Danio rerio: one gene and its partner. Each later gene encodes a partner of the first gene's protein in a complex. Links are inferred from orthologs where the notes say so. Each region holds a gene or a part of one and is shown on either strand. Other genes may lie near its edges.

Region 1 (3,836 bases):
AGGTTGAGAAAGGAGATGAGTGAGGTCAGAAAATAAAGGAAATTAAACTAGCAAGTATTATCAAAAATATCAATCTCTCTCATTCAAGCCAGTTGAAGCAGTTTGTTGTGGTTTTCGACACACCACATCTAATCTGTCCCGTCACAGTTTCACCCTGTTCCTTTATGAGTTTACAGCAGCTCATTTGCATGTTTCAGGTTTTATTAGTTTAAATATTGAAGCGTAATACATGCTGGAGAACTTAATATTTAAAACTGATTGAACATCTTTTTTTCTCTATTGAGTTCTCTGTTGCACTCCTGACTTTTTTTTATGTCAGATAACTTTAAAAATAATTCCTATGGCTTTGTCCCTTATTGATCAGGGGTTGGCACATTAGAAAGAACAACCAACTTATCCAGCATAAGTTTAATGCAGCGGATGCCCTTTCAGCCGCAACCCAGTACTGGGAAATACTCATACACTCTCATTTACACACACTCATACACTATGGCCAATCTAGTTCATCCAATTCACCTTTAGCGCATGTCTTTGAAATGTGAGGGAAACCGGAGCACCTGGAGGAAACCTGAACACGGGGAGAACATGCAAACTCCACACATAAATGCCAACTTGTCCAGCTGGAACTCGAACCAGTGACCTTCTTGCTGTAAGACGACAGTGCTAACCACAGAGCCACCATGTCGCCTTAATTTAAAAAAAACACAATATCTAACTTTTTATTGTTAATATTTTCCCTTTTCTGAAAATACTGACAAACAACCTAATTATATTAAAAATATCTGCTATTAGAATTTTTAAATACGTGTTAAAATACTTAGTTTGGTGTTTAAACAGCTTAATAAAATAATTGATCTATGTTGGGTGATAGGCACCGCCATGTTAGTTTGCACATCAGTGGAGAGATTAGAGCTGCTGGATTTACAACATGTTCATTCATCAACTTCTTCTGAAATTCATGAAAGTAAAGTAAGTGGCTGTTCAACTGGGAAAAGAATATATGTGATGTAATGTAATGTGTATTTATATAGCGCATTTATTGTGTATGGCCATACACCCAAAGCGCTTCACAATCATGATGGGGTTTTTCCACACCACCACCAGTGTGCAGCATCCACCAGCTATTGATGGAGTGGAAAGACAGTGATAGAGGCAATTCAGTAGAAAGGGGATGATTGGGAGGCCATGATCGTAAGGGCCGATAGAGGGACTTTGGTCAGGACACCGGGGTTACACCCCTGCTCCTTCACGAGAAGTGCCATGGGATTTTTAATGACCACAGAGAGTCAGGACCTCGGTTTAATGTCTTATCCGAAAGACGGCGCCCACTGACAGTATAGTGTTCCCTTCACTTTTACTGGGGCATTAGGACTCACACAGACCACAGGTTGAGCGCCCCCTTCTGGCCTGACTAACACCACTTCCAACAGGAACTTAGTGTTCCCTAGTGGTCTCCCATCCAGGTACTGACCAGGCTCAGCCCTGCTTAGCTTCAGTGAGTAACCGGTCTTGGGCTGTAGGGTGATATAGCTGTGGCTTATTTATAGCGAGTGAACTTTATTGTTACCAAAACTACGTGTATCTGATGTGAATAAAGCAAAATGTGAGATTTTATTATTGCACTTAAAGAAATTAAATCAGTTCATGTTTATTTATATAGTGCTTTTACAATGTAGATTGTGTCAAAGCAGCTTAGAGTTAAATTTCAGTTTAGTTTAGTTTCAGTTTAGTTTACTTTTATTCTTGACAAAATGTAATTCTTTTCTCTTGTTATTTTATGAAATTGTTAGCAATTTTTAATATTTTGTTGTATGTAATTTTACTGATGTTGTATGTGTAATAATCTGTTTTTGATTTATTGTTGGCTTTTTAAAATCTTGCAGGGGTAACAGATGAAAATTAGCCCTCTTGACTTACTTTGGCTAATTTACAGTTTTTACTTTTAAATAAAGTACCTTGTACCTTTTAAACAAATAATGATGTCTGAAACAACAATAGGAAAGGCAAAAGCAATAGGCCTATACAGTACATGTACCAGAAGAATGTTAAGCTCTTATTTCATCTGTATATTTGTTCTGTTGTATTTATTTGTGTTATTGTTTGTAATTTGTTTTATTTATTTATTACTGTCTGTTGACTTGTCTTTAATTTTTTTTTAATGTATATAAATTAAGTTTGTGGTTAATACTCGACTATATCAACAGTGACACAGAGTCTCAATATTTTTAAGAGTATCATATCACAAAACATCATTTTACAAAGTATCGAGTTAGATAAATCGAGTTGGAAATTCCAGTAATTTCACAACACTATTGTCCAGAGAGGAGAGGAACTGGAGATGGGAGTAATGCTCAGGAAATGAGGGACAGATGAATTTGTCAATACCTCCTCAAGCTGGCACGCTTTCACCACACTCTTGTAGCGATACTCGTCGTAGGTCAGGCCAAAGAGGATGTTGTCTCGGATGGTTCCAGGCATGATCCAGGCTGTTTGGGAGGAGTAAGAGATTCGACCGCTGTGTCGGATCTTCCCTGAGGAGGGAACCAGCTCCCCGAGGATGGTCATCAACAATGAGCTCTATAAATATAGACAGCACGTCTGAGCAATGACAACTCTTCCCCTTACATATTAAGTTATGTTTAAATTAATAAATTGCAAAATAAAATTAAGTACAAACTATATAATTAATAACTAATAACAGATAACTAATAATTGTAAGGTATTATGTTAATATTATCAATTTCAATAAAATTAAATTTTGCTCAAATATGTATATTCAAAATAAATATTAGTATAATTTAAATTATTGAATCGCTGTTATTAGAGCTTTGTGGATACAATACTCTTTTCTTTAAAAAAGTACAAACACCTTTTTAAAAGCAAAATAATTAATTAATATTATTCAAAAATCCTCCGGTTTCCTCCACAGTCCAAATACATACGGTACAGGTGAATTGGGTAGGCTAAATTGTCCGAAGTTTATGAGTGTGTGTGTGTGTGAATGTTTCCCAGAGATGGGTTGTGTCATTTTGTCATTACATATTTTGCCGCACTTTAGATTTTCTTAATTATGTAAATAAATCACAAATCTAATTATTAAATAAATGATTTTGTAGGTGAGAGCTATTTGTCAGAAATGTTTAGTCTCTTTCTTTAAATATTTATTTTACTATTTACAAAACTGAACATTTTTTAAATAGATAAGAATTTTGCTTTTAATTTTAATAGAAAAATTTAATTAATTTATCTCATAAATTGTATATACAATTGTGTAAAAAGTGTGTAATACACAATAAATAGACAATAATTTTAATTAAAAGTTAAAAAAAATTAAACATTATTATTAACTGTGAATGGACATCTGTAGTCTCACTATAACATCTTAAATGATTATAATATATTTACATTGATACTACTTGCACCTATGCATGGTATTTGCAATAGATAACACCTAAAAAAATGAAAATAAGCGCTCATACTTTCCCAGATCCCATAGAACCAGTAACAGCCAACATCTCTCCTTTCTTCAGCTTCAGACTGATGTCCTTCAGTACAGGAGCCACATACAGGTTAGTGAAGAAGAGGCCTGCGTCTCCATTGTGATGCCCATTAGCTTTGTTCTCCTGTTTTATCCTTTCCAAAAGTTCACCGGGACCCTAAAGAAACACAGCGTCACATCTCCTTACACCGCACCGCACCGCACACATACAAACAACAAATGCATTCACACAGCTCTGTTCTCCAAGAGTGCTGAAAATGAATAGCCAAGTCACATTTACAATTGAAAACATCACCAAATGTAGTTCCAGTAATTTAGAGTTAATCATTGACCTCAG
Region 2 (4,397 bases), on another chromosome or scaffold:
GTAGTTAAGAATGGGTTAATCATGATGTGCCTCTCCAAGAAAAGTCAGGACATAGTTCATGATGGTTAAATTAGGCATAAACTAATGTGGTAAAAATACATTAATTAACAAACAATCATGCATTAACAAGTAATTACAGTAGCGGTTATTCACACATGAACTCATGTGACTCATGTTGTAGTTAAAGTAAGTCAACGATTAACACGCATTATGAATAATGAAGTAATGTTTAGTTTATATATTAATACATCATTATTCATGTACTGTTATTGTCAAGTGTTACCAATTTAGTCATGTCAAGACTCCTGCAATGAATAAATAATACCTAAAACACATACAATTGGAGGTTTATATATATATATATATATATATATATATATATATATATATATATATATATATATATATATATATATATATATATATATATATATATATATATATATATATATAACATAAATTATTTTTAGTAAATATAATAACATTCTTCAGTTTAAAATACGTCCAAGACATCACTTCATTGAGATCCACCCTAAAACTCGTCCTCAATCAGCTAAATTGAACCTGAAAGTGTGTTGTTGAATAAAGAAAGCAAGCCAATGAAAGCACATGTGGATGTGCACGTTTAATACAACACACTCGTTTCTGTCCCCGTCACCTACTGACCACCCGGTGTGCAAAACAGGAAGTAAAATCATCCTGTTTGCCTTCGCTTTAGATCAGAAGACAAACAAGCAGGATCGACTCACGATCAAGAGGTTAGAAACATATGTTCACACACAAACACACACACACACACACACACACACACACACACACACATTCTGAGCAAACAGTAACTCGATTCTATATCCATCTACTTCAGTACAGTGTGAAAGTTTGAGCTCATCTATGGAAGATACACAGAAGGATCCAACATTGTTATACCATAAACTCGATTTACTCGCTCTCCAACGCAGATGGTCATTTTGTGTCCCTTTATATAACCCAAAATGATGACAAATATTAGCAAAAAATAATAATAATCCACCGAGTGCCATCATGTCCTCTTCTCTCAGTGTTTCTCAGTGGTTCCTCAATCTCCAGTGGACGTAAAAGCAGACTGTTCTCCATATGCAATAAAACCAAGAATCTCCTATATGTTACATATTATACATGTTCAGTCTTCATCTCTTACTGATGTCTGCCGTTTTCTTCTGGGGGTTTTTCAGTGTCTAGGATGAGCTCTCTGCAGACTCTGCTGTTTTGGAGGTTTTGTCGTCTGAAGGGCATTCGCTGGACAAGCCCACGTCTCCGTTCTCTGTTCTGTTGTTCACTAAGTGCTTCCCTACAGCTGGAAGGATACAAAAAAAAAAAAAGCGGACAGTAAGGTTTTACATTTTTTTTAAATGATTACTTTAACAGACCATGGCTGTTTCTCAATATGCATTGTGTTCTCATATAAAGTCATCATCAATCCACATAGTTCAGTTCTAAAAAACTTAAGAACGGAGGATGTGTGAAAGAACCCGGATGTGTTTTGGATATCAAGGACCCATTGATGCAGACTTGATCGTAGAACTCGCTCGAGAAGTCTCAGAACTCATTGTGGCTGAATAAGTGAAGTTTATTTATAAACTAATTTCGAGAGGATCATGTGCTTATGATTGCATGCGGCTGGTCCTGCATTATCCAATTTATGATTCACCAATCAGACGATTCCTAAGCCTCTATAATCACTCTAAGTTCCATATAACAGCCATCTTTGTTTTGAAGAAACCCCCTTCCACCCCTACTCCTCCTCCTTTCCTAGACACGGTGGCCCAGTGGTTAGCACTGTTGCCTCACAGCAAGAACGTCACTGGTTCTAGTCCTTACCATGCCAGCTAACGTTTCTGTGCCGAGTTTACACCTTGTCCCCGAGCTCACGTGGGTTTCTCCAAGGTGCCCGGTTTCCTCCCACAGTCCAAAAACATGCAACTTAAGTTAATTGACTACTCCAAATCAGCACCTTAGACATGCTGCTAGTAAGTAGTTATCTCTTAAGAGCAAACACTATCTGTTCATTAGCATCTACAGCAGAAGAGTTCTCGAGATCTACCTGAGCTCAAACTAACCTCTCGCCTTGCAAACAGGAGTGAACCCTGGACTCGAGGATCTTATGAGCTCAGGGCTCTCTCCCGGGACAGCAAGTCAAACAAGCTTTATAAACAATCATCAACTAAGTGTGAACTCTTGAAAGGAGATAAGAAGTACAGCATTTCATATCTGTTTATTATTATAGTGCAGAGACATAACTTCCCTATATGAGATGGTGAAAGTAAACTTTAACATGAAAATCTTAATAAAGACAAACACATTAAGGGTGTTTATTTGCTGAAATTCGTACTAAAATATGTTTCATTTGTGTTAAAAAAAATCTAATTGTGTATTAAAAGCATCGTCAATGAACCATGATGCACCAAGATATCGAATTGAACTGAATCGATGGCATGATACGGTGGCCAGGAAGTGCAAAACTACATTACAAAGTGTGAAACACTTATACAAAGCTCGAGACAAATTTACATTTTAAAATTTTTTTTACCTATCATCAGACACATTTATATGTGTGTCACTTCCAGTGTGTGGTACATTACCTTTCCATAAGGAATCTGTAATTGTAAATTAGTTTCGGGACTTGTAAAAGTGTTTTTTCGTCTTGTTCATTTTTTTTAAAAAAATGTTAATTTATTTCGTCCTTGGTAAAATAGTTTTTCCTATGTAATTGTGTCTGATGATAGGTAAAATGTTTTTCAAAATGTAAATTTGTCTTGAGCTTTGTAAAAGTGTTTTACAATTTGTAATGTTGTTTTACACTTCCCGGCCACCGTAGCATGATAATCTTAACCGGACCGTGAGACCAGTGTAGGTTCACACCCCTAGCAGCAGCACTCCGGGCGTCCCGAGTTTGAATTCCAGCTCGAGGAACTTTCCCGAAATATATATATATATATATATATATATATATATATATATATATATATATATATATATATATATATATAAAAATATATATATATATATATATATATATATATATATATATATATATATATATATATAGATAGATAGATAGATAGATAGATAGATAGATAGATAGATGGATAGATAGATATCTATATGTCTGTCTATCAGTCTTTCCAATCTGTCTTTCATCCATCCATCTATATTCAAACTGCTTTCATCTATCTATCTATCTTTTTCAAACTGCTTTAATCTATCCATCTATCCATCCGTCCGTCTGTCCATCCATCCATCCATCCATCCATCCATCCATCCATCTCTCTCTCTCTCTCTCTCTCACTTCACTTTCTGTCAACATACTGTCCTGTCAAATAAAGGCAAAATAAATATTAAAAAAAAAAGAATGCTGTAATGTTTAAATAATTTTCGTGAAATAATTTAGATAAAATTCGTGAAGGTCATGTGACCATCTGGAAGAACGCAACATCTCATTTCTCAGAGGATACGTCCTGTGCTAGACCGAGGTAACTTGACAAGACCACTCTCCATAAGAATGCGAGTCCATTCTCTGTGTTCTTGGAAGCCATTGATTGGTTGAGCTATAAGCTAAAAGAAAAGCAAATGTTGTTCAGTGTGGTGTCAGGAACGCAATTCAAGCAAAGAAATTGGTCAAATAAAATAAAAATGTCTATTTCTTAGACTGACGGTAAAAGGGCTATTTACTAAGCTGTTCATTTTGGTGGTTAACAGCTTGCGTGGATTTACTCTGTACTCACTATTTACTTTCCCTCAAGTTGTTCCAAACCACTTTTTCTTTATTCTGTTGAACACAAAAGAAGATATTTTGTAGAAAGCTAAAAACCTGTGACTTCCATAGTAGGAAATACAAATAGTATGGAGGTCAATGGTTACATGTTTATCTTAAAATATCTTCTTTTGTGTTCATAAAAAAAAAATAAAGACAAACATGTCAAGGGTGAGTAAATGATGATATAAATGTAATTTTTTTGGACGAACTACCCCTTCAATTCAGTGTACTTGCCTTGTAGGGAGGCGGGGTCAGCAGTGCCATTGTTGTGATTGGCTGCTGATGCCTCTTCCAGCTCGTCCAGGTACAGACGGTAGCGGTGCCCGCTGTCGTCTTCATACTCCACATTCTCATCATCTGAGTCCACTTCTGGAGCCACATAAACCACCTCAAACTCAATTTCTCCCCTCTGAAGAGAGAAAAACACAACTGCGTTAGTTTCTCGAAGTGTCAGTGTATGTATGCAAATCAATTCTTTTTATTATTTCAGGTAAATATAACCTTTGGTTGTTCACACAGTAATCATATGACTTAAATTTGGAATTAACCGAATGATTGATTTGATCCACTTTTTTCTATGATGATTTGATGAGATAGTTTGATG

What was found.
Region 2: the proteins of cftr (region 1) and gopc are in contact, whole or in part, in an NMR structure (PDB 2LOB), measured with the Homo sapiens proteins. The link is inferred for Danio rerio from reciprocal best matches to the Homo sapiens genes CFTR and GOPC. Residues at the interface, in NP_000483.3 of Homo sapiens: Val1475, Gln1476, Asp1477, Thr1478, Arg1479, Leu1480; in NP_065132.1 of Homo sapiens: Gly298, Leu299, Gly300, Ile301, Ser302, Ile303, Thr304, Gly305, Glu308, His309, Glu317, His319, Thr347, Lys348, His349, Lys350, Glu351, Val353, Leu356.

What each region holds. Positions count from the first base shown.
Region 1 is NC_133193.1:22,079,233-22,083,068, reverse strand, and holds part of cftr (cystic fibrosis transmembrane conductance regulator), read right to left. Parts: intron 3,657-3,836; coding exon 3,480-3,656; intron 2,578-3,479; coding exon 2,386-2,577; intron 1-2,385. UniProt on the Homo sapiens protein: Epithelial ion channel that plays an important role in the regulation of epithelial ion and water transport and fluid homeostasis. Mediates the transport of chloride ions across the cell membrane.
Region 2 is NC_133195.1:45,573,784-45,578,180, reverse strand, and holds the end of gopc (Golgi-associated PDZ and coiled-coil motif-containing protein), read right to left. Parts: intron 4,203-4,397; coding exon 4,028-4,202; intron 1,334-4,027; coding exon 1,215-1,333; 3' UTR 597-1,214; downstream 1-596.